Linked DNA regions of Macaca mulatta. The protein of the gene in region 1 purifies or fractionates together with the protein of each later gene. This does not show direct contact. Links are inferred from orthologs where the notes say so. Each region holds a gene or a part of one and is shown on either strand. Other genes may lie near its edges.

Region 1 (8,945 bases):
TGAGGCAGGAGTCACTAGCACAGAGTGTATAAGTAAAATCTAAAGATAAAAAAGAAAGCACTTGGGATACATCCCTTGCACACATCTCCTCTTTTATAACCAGCAGAGTGAAGTTGGTTGCTGAAGTCATAGAACCAATAGTCTGTTTTTCACAGATGGCTGATGATAGCAGAACAAGCCCTGGCTAAGTCCCCCACCCTTTTCTTGAGTAGTTCATTGTTATGAGCCACGGACCCACAATCACCAGGTCACATGTTCTATACTCTTTCCCAGAAACAGTGACGAAATATGCTGAGCCATCCACATTTCCTCAGTTATATTGAGAGGCAGGCGATGTAACAATTAAGCAGTCTCTGAAGCCAGAGCAACCTGAGCTCAAACCATGCCTTAGCTTGCTTGTTGTGGGACCTAGGGAAAGTTACTGAAACTTCTTTAGAGATGTTTATCAATAAAATGGGTATAGTTGACTGGCTTCAAGATTTCTTGACCACTTGATGTATTTGCCCTGCATAATTCCTAAGACTGTGATTATAATGGATTTTACTCTCATGATTAGGTTTTTACATAGCACAGCTGACTTTAATACAGGGAGATTATTTGGCTAGACCTTGCCTAAACACAAGAGCCATTTAAAAGCAGAGTTCTCCCCAGCTGGTCAAAAGAATCTCTGGTCAGAGATTCACAGCATAAGGTTTCAATGTAGAAACCCACATGTAAGGACCAAAAAGAAGCCCCTAGGAGCTAAGAGCTACAGCCCTCCAGTCAACAGCCAGCAAAGAAAAAAGGACCTCGGTCCTACAACCACAACCAACCAAATTCTGCCAACAAGAAAAATGAGCTTGGAAGCTGATTCTTCCCCCAAAGATTCCGGATAAGAGTCCAACACCTTGATTTCAGCCTTGTGAGATCCTAATCAAAGAACCCACTCGTGTCCACCCAAACTTCTGACCTACAGAACTGTGAGCTAATAAATGAGTGTTGCTGTAAGCCACTAAGTTTGTGGAAATTTGTTACACAGCAATGGAAAACCAATACAATGAGGACAGAGCAAGTGCTTAATAAATGTTAGCTTTTACTACTACTAACTCATTGGGATCAGCTACCCAGTTACAGGAAGACTGAAGCACAAATTATTTATGCAAGGCTGGCAGTGCCTTCAGCTGAAGGCAGTGCCTTCAGATCCAGGGTCCATTTGGTCTAATATGGCTGATATTAAGTGTTTCTCAAGGGGAGAGACATTATTGGCATTCAATGAGGGAAAGGGTTCATCGTGTAGAACTGCCTGGGACATGGCAGTCCATTTATCATCTCTGGCTTCTCTTCCCCTAGTAGTAGTCATTGCAACAACTGAAAATGCCCCTGTACATTTCCAAACATGCTCCTCCACAAGGGTTGAGAACTTCGAGAACTACTTTAAGGTAAATTTCATAAGAAAGCATGCGTGTTTTAAATGCTGCCATAAAGCTACCTCAATAACTACAATACTACTCAAATTACCTGACCCTAAGAATCACCAGTGGCACTTGTTTAAATATAACGATTCCCAAGTTCTTTCCCTAGAGTCCCATTCCATAGGGCTGGGGTGGAGCCCCAGGAATCTATACTCTTACTTAAAGACCCCAGGTGAATCTTTTGTTTATGTAAGTTTGCCAAACACTGAGTTAGAAATATACTCAGCCGTACATGCATTTAGCAAAAGTTCACCACAACGGAACAATGACACACACCAAAACTCTTTGAAACTGTGCCTTTTACAGAGCTGTAAATCTCGTTTTGGACTATTCCATTACACAAGGTGTCCTCTTGGTCACGCAATGATTGCAAATGGGACTCCAGAGTCATGGAAAATGAGAATACTCTTCTCAAACGTTCCATCTTTACCAGAAATTCTTTAAGTGATATGTTCCATGGTGTAAACTAGCACTTATTAATTTTTTCTAAATATTTATCATATTTCATATACTTTTATTTTGGAGACGGAGTTTCACTCTTGTTGCCCAGGCTGGAGTGCAATGGCGGATCTCGGATCACCACAACCTCCACCCCCCGGGTTCAAGCGATTCTCTGGCCTCAGCCTCCTGAGCAGCTGGGATTACAGGCGTGTGCCACCACGCCCGGCTAATTTTGTATTTTTAGTAGAAAAGGGTTTCTCCATGTTGGTCAGGCTGGTCTCGAACCCCCGACCTCAGGTGATCTGCCCGCCTTGGCCTCCCAAAAGGCTGGGATTACAGGCGTGAGCCACCGCACCCGGTCCGTATACTTTTAATACATGTGGAATTAATAAAAACGTCCGTGCCTCCAATTCCGTGGCTATTTTACTGTCTTCCCTTTTCGGACAAGTCCCTCAAAGGTAGCGCTCTTGGCTCCTTCTTTTGCTTCTCCCCTAACCCTGTCCTCCTGAGGTGCCCTCTGGATTTCCTCCAACCCCGGCAGGGTCTGCCTTTTCGGGCTGATACAACGACCTGCCCTGCATGCCACATCACAGGAGCGTGGGCACCAAAGTGTGGAAAAACTAATGAATGACGTTTTCTGTTTCCTGCCTGCCAGAATCCCCAGCCGCACCGCCCCACCACGAACCACATGGAACCCACGGACTACACCAGGACAGAAAGAGGTCTGTTTTCCCTTTACCTCTCCCATTTCTTCAACTATGCTTCTCTCGGCTAGCATACCCTTTCCTCATCTCACTCCATACACGCACAGCTTTAGCAAATTAATATGCACGCTGCTGGGACGCGCCCAAGCATTTCCCTCCCTTGATAGGGCGGAACTAAAATGCAAGCGCCACAGTTGTCAGCAAAAGACTTCCCTGTTACCATGGTAAAGCCGCTGCGCCATCTTTATTGTGGTTAACGAGTACTTGCATCAACCTAAGAGAAAATAAGAAGGAAGTCTGCAGGCTGAAACCCTTCAAATTAGCCTGGACTCGCCTGCATCTGGCTCGGAACAGAGTTAATCTCAGGGGTGGGGGTTGAGTCCTCCGGTGGACGCAACTCGCGCCTGCGGCTAACAGAAGGTCGCCAGGGGAGGGGCTCTGCGTCCGTTCCACCCAGGCACTTCCGGCTCACGCGCCGTACGGAAGCGTGCTCAGCGCTGGGCTTGTGCTCCGTACGGAAGTGTGCTTTGGCGCACCGGAAGCCGACTCAATAGAGCTATGGCGGGTTTGACTGTGAGAGACCCAGCGGTGGATCGTTCTCTACGTTCTGTGTTCGGTGAGAGGAATTCGTTGGAGCCAAGCTTCGGGGAGGGACTCCCCTCTGCACCTCCTATCTCATGAATCGCTACCGGAGCCGCTGACGGTTCGGACATGCAGTTCTCCCTGCCTATCCTGTAGGGCGTCCAACCTGGTGGACTCGTGAGCAAAGAGATGTTCCCATTCTGCCGAGGTCTCGTAGGCTTTCCGCAATATCACTGGGGAAGTTAGACTAGCGTTCAGCTTCTGTGCGTGTCTCCTTTCATGAGCTTTAATTATTCTCTAGAGGAGAGGGCGCATGGCAACAGCTCCTCACTGTCCCGTACTACTTCTCATCCTCTGCCCCAGAATACAGACTATATGCTGAGGGTATAGATCCTAGTGTCCACTTCCTGTTCTCTCGTAAGGACTTTCATCCTTTGCTTTTTATCCGTAACATTTTAGTTCATCAATAGTAGTAGAGGCCACCTGGTGTCCTGAGATGTCTTGTAAATGAATGAATGAATGAACTGTTAAGACCTCCTCAGAGGAATTTTAAAAAGGATCGAAATGATTCTGAATTATCTTTTTGGCTGAAATAAGTTGTTTTTAAAAATACGTGTGATTATTTTAGAGTGCCATTTGAAAGGGACATGACAAAGTAGTTCAGAATAATTTTTAAACATCCTTCACTACATTCATGGTCATTCTCCCTTAAATGTTGTATGTGTGGAAATACATATGAACCTGTTTTAAAAATTATATTAAATAACATTGATATTTTTTGTAGTCACTGATGAGACTTGCAGATCTTTAGGTAAATACCAGTGCCGAAGTATTTATTTTCACCAAAGTTAAGGAAAATCTAACACTTGTCAGATCAGTCTGAGAATTAACATTTAAGAGTACCTACACATTTTGTATTTAGTTTCAGTGGTACATTTCCTTTGTTAAGAGGTCTAGAGAAATACAGTGGAATTGGGATTGGAGAACACTATTTTGAGCCTTATATTTGATGATATAAGTAGATACTCTGTCATTTACTTTCTCACTAAAGATCTATGTTATAAACTCGGAATTTTAATGTTACCTGTTTTCTTCCTTAGTGGGGAACATTCCTTATGAAGCTACTGAAGAACAGTTGAAGGACATCTTTTCTGAGGTTGGACCTGTTGTTAGTTTCAGGTGAGATCCCCTTTTACTTCATGGTGGGAGCTTCTTAAAAATTACCACAGATTTGGCTCTTAGTAATGGCAGGTTTTCTTTACTGGTGACTTTTCACATACACTTTATTCTTGTAACAGCTTTATTTAGATATAATTGATATACTATACAATTGACATTTATTCTTACCTAAAATATGTTTTTTTCATTAAAAATGTTTTTTAGGCAGGGCGTAGTGGCTCTTGCCTGTAATCCCAGCACTTTGGGAGGCCGAGGCAGGCGGATCACCTGGGGTCAGGAGTTCGAGACCAGCCTGACCAATATGGTGAAATCCCGTCTCTACTAAAAATACAAAAATTAGCTGCTGTGGTATCGCATGCCTGTGTCCTAGCTACTCAGGAGGCTGAGACAGGAGAATTGCTTCAACCCAAGAGGCGGAGACAGCAGTGAGCCAAGATCGTGCCACTGCACTCCAGCCTGGGCAACAGAGCGAGACTCTATCTCAGGGAAAAAAAAAAGAAAAAGTTTTAAAAAATATTTCTGTGAGGCTGTCAGAGCTGTAAAGTTATTTATGTTACAGTGGGCCCAATTAAAGCATGGCAATGTTAGCAGGAACCCTGTATGTGTGTAACATTTGTTCCTGACACTTGGTTCTGCTCTCCAGATTGGTATATGATAGAGAGACAGGAAAGCCAAAGGGTTATGGCTTCTGTGAATACCAAGACCAAGAGACAGCACTTAGTGCCATGCGGAACCTGAATGGGCGTGAATTCAGTGGGAGAGCACTTCGAGTGGACAATGCTGCCAGTGAAAAGAACAAAGAAGAGCTGAAGAGTGAGTACAAATCCAACTTGGATGCAGTGTGAGTTAGTAAAGATGTAACAATGAAGATTTTCCGTTTCTGCTATGTTTTAGAATATGCTGAAATGGTTAGCCACACAGCTTGTTTATTACTTGACTGATCTGATGTGCCTGAGTTAGGCAAGTATTATATATATCTTTTAAAAAATTTTTTATAAATTTTTTTTCAAGTAATTGTCTGAAATTTCTATACCCTTGCTCTGGATGGAGCAGGGCAAGGCCTCAAACCATTTCAAAACTGTTCTGGCAAGCACTGTAGGAATGCATAGGGTCACTGCAGACCTAAGCATGCTGGAGACTTGCTAGTAAGTGGATATCTTTAAGAAACTGTAAAGTTGACATTAGAAATGCTTCAGTTGCTCCAGCCTGGGCAACAGAGTGAGACTGTCTCCAAAAAAAAAAACGAAATTTTTCCATTGTTAAGGAGTTATTTCCAGTTAAAGATGAATTCAAATTCATCAAGCCATTAGTAGTACTAACTATGGCATTAGTCATTCCTGTCACTGTTTTCAGGAGTTTTTGAAATTAGCATGTTATTCTCTTTTAACATTTTGTTTCTGAAATGACTTGTCAAAAGAAGTCAGTGTTCCCAGTTCTCTAACTTAGGTTAACATTGTCCTTCCATGTGATCATGATCCCCAGCTTTCCTCTGAGAACAGAAAATACACTCTCACTTTCCTCCACAGAAACAAGAGGCTTTCAAATCATTTATTTCTCAGCTCTGGAGAATCTAAAATTATCAGCTGGTTCTTACAGCAGCCCTGAAAAATAGATACTTGAAATGATTTAGCTTTTTGTTTTGCCTCCCTAACTTTCTTGTACTTTCTTCTTGATTAGGCCTTGGCACTGGTGCCCCTGTCATTGAGTCACCTTATGGAGAGACCATCAGTCCTGAGGATGCCCCTGAGTCCATTAGCAAAGCAGTTGCCAGCCTTCCACCAGAGCAGATGTTTGAGCTGATGAAACAAATGAAGGTGGGAGGAGGCATTAGGTTATGAATAAAGCAAACCACATCAGGTTTTCAAGGAGTTAATTGAATCAGTTCCCTGAGCTCAAATAGAAATTGTCTGTAGACCACCATTTCTTGCACCTTCAATATTCTGTATGTACACAGTATATTTTACATTTTGTACAAAGAGCTTTCTATTTTTGTACACAAACACAGCTATCCAAACAATCCAGCTGGATTTTTGTGGCCCATAGATGTCAGATGTAGATATTAAAATTTGGCTTTTTTCCTAAATGATAGTATCACAGTATTTGAAATGCCTCTTTCTTCTCTTGCCTGCCATGACCAAGGTTTTTTTGTGCCATGCAAAAACTAATGATAAAGAGCCTCTTGAATATTACATTTCTCAGAGGGGAATGACTCTAAATCACTATCAGTTTCTAAGTCATAAGTATTAAACCTGAATCTGCTTATCTTCTCAGCTCTGTGTCCAGAATAGTCCCCAGGAGGCACGGAACATGTTGCTTCAGAACCCTCAACTGGCTTATGCTTTGCTGCAAGCACAGGTAGTGATGAGAATTGTGGATCCGGAAATTGCCCTGGTGAGTGCTTCTGGTTCTTTTATGGAAATGGTCGGGTAAACCTTGAGTGGGATAGGAACTACCTGATTGCTTTGTTAAACAGACAGCTTATAGGTTTGTCTTTTCACTTTTTAGAAAATTCTGCATCGCCAGACAAATATCCCAACGCTGATTGCAGGCAACCCTCAGCCAGTCCATGGTGCTGGGCCTGGGTCAGGATCCAATGTGTCAATGAACCAGCAGAATCCTCAGGCCCCTCAGGCCCAGTCTTTGGTAGGGCTTTATCCCTTAACATTTTTTTTTATCTGTCTTAGAATGTCATTTTCTTTTTAGGAGAATATATTGAAAGAAGAATGGTCAGGAACCAGAGATGATAATTTCAATTTCCAGGCATAAAAGCAATTTCCAGGTTGCAGAGCACATGACATCTGAATGAATATAGATTCGATTCCAAGTTTGTAAAACAAAGAGATCCTTCCTGTATGCCCTTTTCTTATAAGCTAACTTTGTGTGTATGTGCATGCCTGGCACTGTGGTTGGCACTTTGTTATTCCATATGCATTATCTCATTTAATCCTCAAAGCAATTGTATGAGGTTGGCACTCTTATTATCTCCATTCTTACCAATGAAAAAAGTAAAGCTTGCTTTCAAAGCATGACACAAAACCCTAAAGCCATAAAAAATTGATACATTTGAAAACTAAAAAATTTCTATATAAAGAAAAAAATAAGTATCAAAGACATGACAAATTGAGAAAAAGTATTTGCCACACATGTGATGGACAACAGACTAATAAAGAGCCCATAGTCATGCACAGAAATGTTTATTGCCTTAGAGTGAAAAATTGGAAATGTCCTAAATGTACATCAATGGAAGAATGGAGAAAATGTGTGGTACATTCATCCAGTGAAATACTGTACAACAGTTAAATGAACTACACGTATCAACATGAATGACTCTGAAAAACATAATTCCATACAGCAGTTAAGATGAACTAGGATACATAATATCAACACAAATAACTCCAAAACAATAACATACGGACATGAAACTAAGTGAATGTGGATGCATTCCCGAAATGTAGGATATATGTTTCTGCATAAATCCCCAAAATATGTGGAGTGAGTTTCAAAATAATATATTGAGTATGTAATGATTCCTATAAAATTTTAAAACATTAGGAAGATGTCTTAGCGGTCATCTAAGGAGAAGAGAGCACAGGATGCAATTGGGGAAGACCATACAGGCCATTGGTGTATTTTATTGTTTATTTCCCAAGCTGCGTGGCTATTTTATTTCCTATATGATTTGTATATCTGTAATTTTTCATAATACATTTTAAAAGGCCTCCTATAAATTAGTAAGAAAATTTCCAATAACCCAGTAGAAAAATGGGAAATGGACATAAATATTTCACAAAAGTAGAAATATAAAGTAAATATATAAAAATGTATTCAACCTCAAAATAAGATAATGTAATAAATTATTAATACATGTAATGTTAAAAGATAATGTAAATAGAAACTACAATAAGCTACCATTTTTCATCTCTCAGATTGGCAGAGGTATAGGGCAGGAGCCAGCAAACATTTTTCTGTAAATGATCAGATAGTAAATATTTTTGGCTTTGCAAGCCACAGGATCTGCCACAGCTACTCTGCCATGGTAGTATGAAATCAGCCATAGGCAATATGTGAACAAGTGTGTGTGGTTGTGTTCCAATAAAAGTTTGTTTACAAAACCAGGCAGTGAGCCCGATTTGACCCATGGGTCATCATTTGCCAGCTCCTGCTCTAAATAAATAAATGTTTTCAGAGATAGAAAAGAGAGGTTAGCTAGTCCAAAAATGGACACAATTGTAAGTGGCAGATATAGTTCTGAACCTGGTTTTATCTGACCTCATACCCAGTTTTCTCTTAACTACCTTCCTATACAGCTCTTCCTTTTCTGTTGTAGAGTTTTGTGTTCCTTAAACGTGTATGTAATTTTTTTTTATATAACTTGGCTTTTATTCTTTATTTATTGAGCTGTTTCTTTTTCAAGGGACTACGCAGTTTTTTGGGGAATGCACAGATGAAAAGTTGACATTCTCTTTTTCTCAAAGAGTTTTAATGTAGCATTAAAAAAAAAAAATTCACATTCCCCCAGAACCAGAATTATGTCTAAGGACAGGAGTGAGAAAAGATTGGTTAAATTTAAATTTAAAAAAAAAAAAGA
Region 2 (8,422 bases), on another chromosome or scaffold:
CCTCTCCCAATGGGAGAGCACAACTGCACTTTTGCACTTGGGGCTTTGAAAACCACTATGATAGAGCAGGATTTAGAATAAAGTGAGTTTCAATCTAATTTCTTCCCAGGATGTTGGTTTCTCCTGCCTCATTTAAAAAGAAATATTTATTAAGCAACAATTCTGTGGCATAAAGTGGCTTCAAACCATGATCACAAAGAAAGTGTTAGAGAAAGTGCCTCTGTATCTATTTTATACTGCTGCATTAAAAAGAGAAATTCTAGCAGAAAACAGATCAGTAATTGTCAGAGGTAAGGGCAGAGGGAAGGGTTATATCTACAAAAGGGTCACAAGGGGGAATTTTTGGAGGATGGTGGAGGTGTTTTCTATCTTAATTGTGGTGGTGATCCCATGACTCAATGTTATTTGTCAAGATTCATAGAACTATACAACAAAAACAGTGAATTTTACTGTATATAAATTTAAATTATTTTTTGTTAGATAAGACTGTAAAGGTGGGAAAAAAGAGATCTGTAAAGTTACTCACCAAGGTGGGGTCAATATCCTCAATTGCCAGAAGTCTGTTATATATACTGTGAACCTTTTCATACTTCATGCGACTCTAAGGTGGTAGAGAAGAAGTGAGTATCAACATATGGTCATAAATAAGCAGGATTTGAGCTCTAAGGAGTCCAAAAGCTATAACCTCCCACCCCCAATGGCATCTCCATTGAGCATAAATATAGTATAAGCTGACAACTAATAACTGTTCATTTGGCATCATCTCTGTCTACCAAAAGCAAAATGCCTGGCAAACAACCAGCCAGAAAAAAAGTTCAGTCCTGCAGTAAAAAATTGAATTATAAGAAGGCTCTAAACATTTTTACTTACCTCTTCATAATCTGCATATGCAAAATAAAGAAGCATATTCTTCTTCAATAAAGTGCTTATGGCTCTTTCATATATATTAGCAGCTTCATCACTAAATAATTTGGCATTATTCATATCCTAGGAGAAAAAAAAGAAAGCTCATCTTCAATAATTCTAATATAGTTGTGAGAGAATAAAATTAATAGTTACATCTATTTTATTTATTTATGTGTCTAAGAAAGCATATATATATGTACACACACATATGTGTATTCACACACACACACACATAAACACATATGCATTTCTGGATTCTAAAAAAATTCCAAAAACTCCCTTCAGTAGTTTAACTTACAAAATAACCATGCAAGTACTCTAAATGATTCATCACTTTAATATGTTAAAAAACTGCCAGTTTATTTTAATTCTAAGGCGATCTAATTATATGAGTGTCACTAAGATTCATATGAACGTAAGCTTAAATTTTCAATACTTATGCTTTACTACCAAAATTCAGTTATATTTTTCAGTAAATCATTGCTATATCAAAACCACAAAAATATCAAAGTGGGGATAGGGAAGGAACACTTACTCCCTTTTCTGCAAGCAGTTTACTTGACTGCTCAAGATACTGGGCAGCTTCATACCAAATATCAGGGTGATGGCCCAGCACAAGCAGGCACTGTTCATAAGCAAACATAACTAAGGGAAGAAATTAACAAACAACATTCAATTAAAATAATAATTATTTGTAAAACTATCAATATAAGTATCATAACCAAATTAGGATCCTCAAAAATCAATGATAATTAGAAATAAAAACCATCATCCATCTAAGCTCCCTCCATCTATCCATCACTTATTATTTTTTTTTATTTTTGGAAGCAGGGTCTCTGTCACATAGGCTGGAGTGCAGTGGCACAAATATGGTTCACTGCAGCCTCGACCTCCTGGGCTCAAGTGATTTTCCTGCCTCAGCCTCCCAAGTAGCTGGGACCAGGTGTGTGCCACCACATCTGGCTTATTTTTTAAAATCTGTGGCCGGGTGCGGTGGCTCACACCTGTAATCCCAGCACTTTGGGAGGCCAAGACGGGCAGATCACGAGGTCAGGAGATCGAGACATCCTGGCTAACATGGTGAAACCCTGTCTCTACTGAAAAGCAAAAAATTAGCCGGGTGTGGTGGTGGACGCCTGTAGTCCCAGCTACTCGGGAGGCTGAGGCAGGAGAATGGCGTGAACCCGGGAGGCGAGCTTGCAGTGAGCGGAGATCGCGCCACTGCACTGCAGCCTGGGTGACAGAGCGAGACTCCATCTCAAAAAAAAAAAAAAAAAAAAAAAAAAATCTTGTATAGAGACGAGGTTTCACCATGTTGCCCAGGCTTGTCTTGAACTCCTGGGCTCAAGCAATCCTCCCACCCCAGCCTCCCAAAGTACTGGGATTACAGATGTAAGCCACTGCACCCAGCCTAAGTTAATACTTATCAAGCACCAACTATATGATAGGGAATGTGGAAGGCACTGTGAATATACAAATGAATAAGACTTCCTGTATTCAAGAAGTCTGCAGTAAATGGGGAGGATAGACAGAAAGCAAAGATCAAAAGTATTATAATGATGAAAGTATAGTATACTCTGAAAACTTACAGCAAGAGAACTTAACATAGTTTAGGGACTCAAGAAAGGCTTCACTAAGGAACTGACATGTAACACAACACCTGAAGAAGGGATGAAGCTGGTCAGAGGCAAATAAATGAAGTGGCGTAAGGATGGGGTAGATACAAAAATGGCGTAGGCAAAGGAAACAATATTTGCAAAGACCTACAAGTAAGACAGCAAGCCAAGATTGAGGAATTCATAAAGCTCCAAATTAAGAGTCTGGCACTGGCATAGTAGTTTGTATCAGACCAACCCTCAGCAAGTAAAAATTATAAACAAACACAAATACAAAAGCAACTATCTAAAGGTACTGGAAATGACCAAAAGAAGCAGAAATCAGGATATTGAGCCCTTAGAAAGGTAGAACACCACTAGGTGAAATCCACATTTAATATGGCTTTTCCCTTCAAGCGCATGCCCATGTTGTGCACTTCTGGGATAGCTAGAACTCAAGTCAAATGCTGCAGTCATACTGTCCTGAAGTAACATGGAGTTCTGGCCTATGAGAGCAGCTGGAAATTGAGGGGAGACATCCCCAAAAGGAGAAAGCCAGAGCCTGAAAATCTGGGCATAAATGTTCTCAAATCCTCACCTGATCCCTAAAATGTACACACACAGGAAAGGATACAACCAGACCAGCAGAAAACAAAGCTGGAAGGCGGAAAGAGTTGAATAGATACCTCAGCAACTAAGGGAGATGAAGTTTAGAATTTGAGTCCCATCCGATTAGATGGTTGGGGCAAATACCTTAGACTTTTCATTGTCTTAGGAGTAAAGACTATGTCCCGAGAATAAAGTATTTAATCTGAGATTAAGGGTAAAACTAAAACAGATCTGTCTTCATAGTATAAAACCAAGCCTCCACAAAGTCCAAGTAATCTGACAGTAATACTTAACTTCCTGCTAAAATAAAAAAACATTCTTCAGAGGAAGATGACAGAATCTAGAGTCTTTACAATGTTTCATTTGTACCTTCGTACAATATCTAAAAGAAAAAATTTAAACAGGAAATAGGAAAATGTAAACCACAGTCAAAGAGAAAAAACAATCAAAGAAAATAAACTCCATGGTGGTTGAAGGCCCAGATGTTGGAATTGGCAGATGAAGACTTTATAACTACTGTTATAAATATGTTCAAAGATATAAAGAAAAAGATGGTAATGAACAAACAAGGAATCTCAACTAAGAAATGGACACCATAAAAAAGAACTATAAAAATAAAAAATTTCTAACATGGAAATGTATAGAACTGAAAAATATTGTATCTGAAATAAAGAATTCACTGGATGTGCTTAATTGCAGACTGCATATGATGAAAACAAAGGTTCAGTGAATATGGAGATAGATCTATAGGAATTATTGAATCTGAAGAACAAAAGAAAAAAAGATTATGGGTAAAAAAGTTTTGGTAACCTATGGGGATACCAAGTGGCCTAACATACATGTAACTGAAGTCATGAGGGTTAATCTTGTTACCTCTTTTTGTTATAAGGGTCTGATCCTCTGTACGAAGAGGGTTGCTCTTTTCCCACTGTATATATTTCTTCCACATATCTACTTGTTGAGCTTCTTGAGGAGTATTCTGAGGAGGCACCGAGGGAGCATTACGGTCCAAGCCTTTCATTACTGTCTCATATTCCTAGACAACAAGCATTTAGAATTCTTTGGTGAGCCAGGAACAACTCAGATGTATGGGGGATGGGGTAGATCAGTTTGGAAGACTGTTCAAATGCCTACTTTTTCCAAATACCACTTTGTTAATATAATCTGAAAACTACTTAAGAGTAGAGAGAAAGATGAGAGTATTATCCACTCAAGAACAGGTTCCCAGGAGTGGGTGAACAAAACACCCATGGGCCCTCTCTATAAGTGATCTAGGAGGTTACTTTACAGGATATAAGAGTTGACAGATCAATAGAATTGAAGATCTGGTGGCATTTATTATTGCCATCTTTGGAGAAACTGTCTTCTACAATTTCAGTAGTTTATATTAATAGGCTATTTTTCCTAACTTCTAAGAGTGTCAATGAATGGAAAGGTATGCACACAATCAAAATGTGTCACTGAGAGCTATGTTATTAGATCACAGAATAATACAATATTCAGACAAACCCAAATAAGAGAGGGAAAAGAATTACTTCATCAATTCTAAGTAGAGTCTTATCTCTATGTCCTGTTTCCATATTTTATAAAATAATTTCTTCTAAACCCAATTTATTATATTTTGTTCGTACAAAGAGATATTTCATTTCAAATATGTCATCTCCTCAGACTTTGCAATTAATTGCTGTTAAGATTGCTAATGATTGAAAATATCAAAAGTAATACCAGACAGGGAAAGCTCTGCTGTAAACAACAGGTTCATAATAATCATTAAAATAGATGGATGGAATTCCATACCTTTGCTACACGTCTAGCATTCATATAATCTCTACTCCGATCTTCAATCATTTTTTTAGCTAAATGAATATTGATACCCTAGAAAAAACAAAAATATTTTAAAATTAAGTATAGTTTCTTGAAAATTAGCATAATACAGTTAATTTATTCATTTACTAAATAACTTTAAATTCTTTATTTTAAAAGATTTCTTGTTTAATAAAGGTTCATACAGCTCATGAAAAGCAGGAAAAAAAAGGTTCAATCACATTATACATTTCAAAGATTAAGGAGGATGTGCTTACGTCTTATGAGCTGGCAGTAAGTTTCCATTTATCAGGAACTTTTAAAGATAGAATCATTTGAAAAGGGTCAATTATTTCATATAAGATTCTACTAAAAAAAAAATGACATGGCTCATGCCTGTATAGGAGGCTGAGTTGGGTGGATCACTTGAGGTCAGGAGTTCATGACCAGCCTGGCCAACATGGTGAAACCCCGTTTCTACTAAAAATACAAAAAAATTAGCTGGGTGTGGTGGCGTGCACCTGTAATCCCAACCACTTGGGAGCCTGAGGCAGGAGAATTCCTTGAACTGGCGAGGCAGAGGTTGCAGTGAGCCAAGATCGTGCTATTGCACTACAGCCTGGGCGACAGAGCGAGACTCCGTCTCAAAAAAAAAAAAAAAAAAAAAAAAAGATGTACAGATTCATCTGGGTGAATAGCCATGGTTTGACTTTGATAGCCCTTTTTCTTTTTTATAGACAGAGTCTTCCTCTGTCACCCAGGCTAGAGTGCAGTGGCGCCATCCTAACTCACTGGAACCTTAAACTCCTGGGCTCAAGTAATCCTCCTGCCTCAGCCTCCTGACATAGGACTACAGGTGTATCCTGCCAGGTCTGGCTCATTAAAAAATTTTTTTGTTGTTGAGACGTAGTCTTGCTATGTTGCCTGGGCTGGCCTCAAACTCCTGGTCTTAGGCAGTCCTCCCACTTCAGCCTCCCAAAGTGCTGGGATTACAGGCATGAGCCATCACACCTGGCTAATAGCCCTTTTCTAACTAGTTCTGTTGTATAACACTTTTTAAAGAGACAAACAGAAGTAGCAAGGAAAGATAAACATTACCACTCAGTGAGTACTCCAAGGATTCTAAGACCCTTTCAGGGAGTCCATGAGATCAAAATAGTTGTCATTATAATACTAAGACATTATTTGCGTCTCTCATAAAAATACAGGAGTTTTACAGAGGCTACGTGACATTTAGTATATAACACACTGAATGGAAGCAGATGTGAAAATCCAGCTGTTTTCTATTAAACTAGACATGAAAGAGATTTGTGAAAATAGAAAATAATGCCACTCTTCTAACTACATTTTTTGTTTTGGAAAATACAGTTTTTGGTCAGGCATAGTGGCTCGTGCCTGTAATCTCAACATTTTGGGAGGCCAAGGCAGGTGAATTGCTTGAGCTCAGGAGTTCAAGGCCAGCCTGAGAAACATGGAGAAACCCCATCTCTACAAAAAATTAGCTTGAGAGTGGTGGCGCATGCCTGTAGTCTTAGCTACCTGGGAGGCTGAGGTGGGAGAATCACCTGAGCCCAGGAAGTTGAGACTGCAATGAGCTGGGACTGTGCCACTGCACTCCAGCCTGGGTGACAAAGTAAGACCCTGTCTCAAAAAAATAAAAATAAAAAATTCTTTGTGATCTTCAATAATTTTTAAAATCCAAAAACCATAAAGTTTGAAAACCACAGCTGATGCCTGTGAGGGAACAATTTCACTACCCTATATAGTTCTTCGAAATCACAATATACATACGAAGAACTTTCTTTTTTTCTCTTTAGAGATGGGGGTCTCACCATCTTGCCCAGGCTGGTCTCAAACTACTGGGCTCAGGCAATCCTTCTATCTCGGCCTCCCAAAGTGCTGGGATTACAAGTGTAAGCCACCATGCCCAGCCAAGGAACTTCCTTCTCTAGAGCTTATTTGGCATGTGTATTTATGTATTCAGATTGATTAGCTCAGTTATTAAAAGCAGATACCAATAACACAAAGATCTTGGATTGTAGCCACACACTTCACAAATTCAAACCAATAATCACATCACTGTAATCAGGTGATAGAGGTACACAGCAACTAAAAAATAATTCCCAAAAGGTACTATTGGAAACATAATTCCCAAAAGGTACTGTTTTATAGGTCAATGGCAATGTGTATGTGTGTGTATGAATGTGTGGACATGGCTTAGCGCAGACAAAAAATAGTTTTATAAGAACTACTGTTCTTCAGAGTATCCTCTAAAAAATAACACTAATATGGAGACTCTCAAAACCTTGCAAAAACATTATAGTGCTTTCATTACAATCAATAAAGAAATGTGTAACACTGATATAGAAAAGCTATAATCTACAAATCCACAATGCATAAAAATTAAAATGGCTTGGTTTATAATAAACAACTACTCTGACCTAATTTACCTCTTCATACTTGTTATAGTCTCTCCAGAGTTGTTCAATGTTGATCATCGGATTAACACAACCTCGTTGATAAACTCTTCGGACAGCTGTTATTCTTTGATTTTCTGCATAAGATCCTACAGCTTCCCTGAGATTGTATAAGAAATGCCATCAATTATATTATAGCTAAATCTCATTCAACCCAGCAGTCTCACTACTGGATATCTACCCAAAGAACAACTCTATGGAAAATAGTATGGAGATTTCTCAAAGAACTAAAAATTATATTTTAGCTAAATCAACTGTTTATATATATATATATGTATGTATATATACACACAAATACTTACACGCCTTTTAGGAAATTGATGTAATCCACCCAAATCTAAGAAATAAAAATAAAATGTTAATATCTTTCTTGGTATTTTCACATTGAAGTGCATATATTAAAAAGTTTTAACTCTACCTGATAGGACATAATTTCCATTCCAATTTTATCCAGTGCAAAGTCATATGCTTGAGCCATTTTTTCTCTGAAATGAACATGAAAGACGTGGTTTTTAAATTCTTTTGTTATTAAAATTTATCTACAATTAGGCCAGACATGGTGGCTCATGCCTGTAATCCCATTGCTTTGGGAGGCCGGGGCAGAAGGATCACTTAGACCCGGAGTTCAAGACCTGCCTGTGCAACATAGCAAAACCCAGTCTCTAAAAACATAAAAATTTTAAAAATTAGCTGGGCGTGGTGGTGTGCACCTGTAATCCTAGCTACTCGGAAGGCTGAGGTGGGAGGATTGCTTCAGCCCAGGATTTCAAGGTTACAGTGAGTTATGAATGCACCATTATACTTCATCCTGGGTGACAGAGCAAGATGCTGTCTCTAAAAAAAATGAAACATAAATTATTATTTGAAGATAGGTATAGTGGTTCACTCCTGTAATCTCAATGCTTTGGGAGGCTAAGGCAAGAGGATCATCTGAGGCCAGGAGTTGGAGACAAGCCTGGGCAACACAGTGAGACCTCGTCTCTATAAATAAATAAATAAATAAATAAATAAATAAATAAATAATGTGCTTAT

The links.
Region 2: the proteins of CSTF2 (region 1) and CSTF3 fractionate together in Homo sapiens (co-fractionation; 4 studies listed by BioGRID and IntAct, with this or other methods). This does not show direct contact. The link is inferred for Macaca mulatta from reciprocal best matches to the Homo sapiens genes CSTF2 and CSTF3.

The regions. Positions count from the first base shown.
Region 1 is NC_133426.1:107,700,785-107,709,729, forward strand, and holds the start of CSTF2 (cleavage stimulation factor subunit 2), read left to right. Parts: upstream 1-3,125; 5' UTR 3,126-3,154; coding exon 3,155-3,212; exon of another isoform or gene 3,213-3,367; coding exon of another isoform or gene 3,368-3,386; intron 3,387-4,278; coding exon 4,279-4,357; intron 4,358-5,000; coding exon 5,001-5,170; intron 5,171-5,369; exon of another isoform or gene 5,370-5,502; intron 5,503-6,034; coding exon 6,035-6,171; intron 6,172-6,628; coding exon 6,629-6,748; intron 6,749-6,862; coding exon 6,863-7,000; intron 7,001-8,945. UniProt on the Homo sapiens protein: One of the multiple factors required for polyadenylation and 3'-end cleavage of mammalian pre-mRNAs. This subunit is directly involved in the binding to pre-mRNAs.
Region 2 is NC_133419.1:32,173,260-32,181,681, reverse strand, and holds part of CSTF3 (cleavage stimulation factor subunit 3), read right to left. Parts: intron 7,876-8,422; coding exon 7,809-7,875; intron 7,728-7,808; coding exon 7,693-7,727; intron 7,491-7,692; coding exon 7,364-7,490; intron 4,986-7,363; coding exon 4,908-4,985; intron 4,147-4,907; coding exon 3,984-4,146; intron 1,552-3,983; coding exon 1,442-1,551; intron 988-1,441; coding exon 871-987; intron 602-870; coding exon 527-601; intron 1-526. UniProt on the Homo sapiens protein: One of the multiple factors required for polyadenylation and 3'-end cleavage of mammalian pre-mRNAs.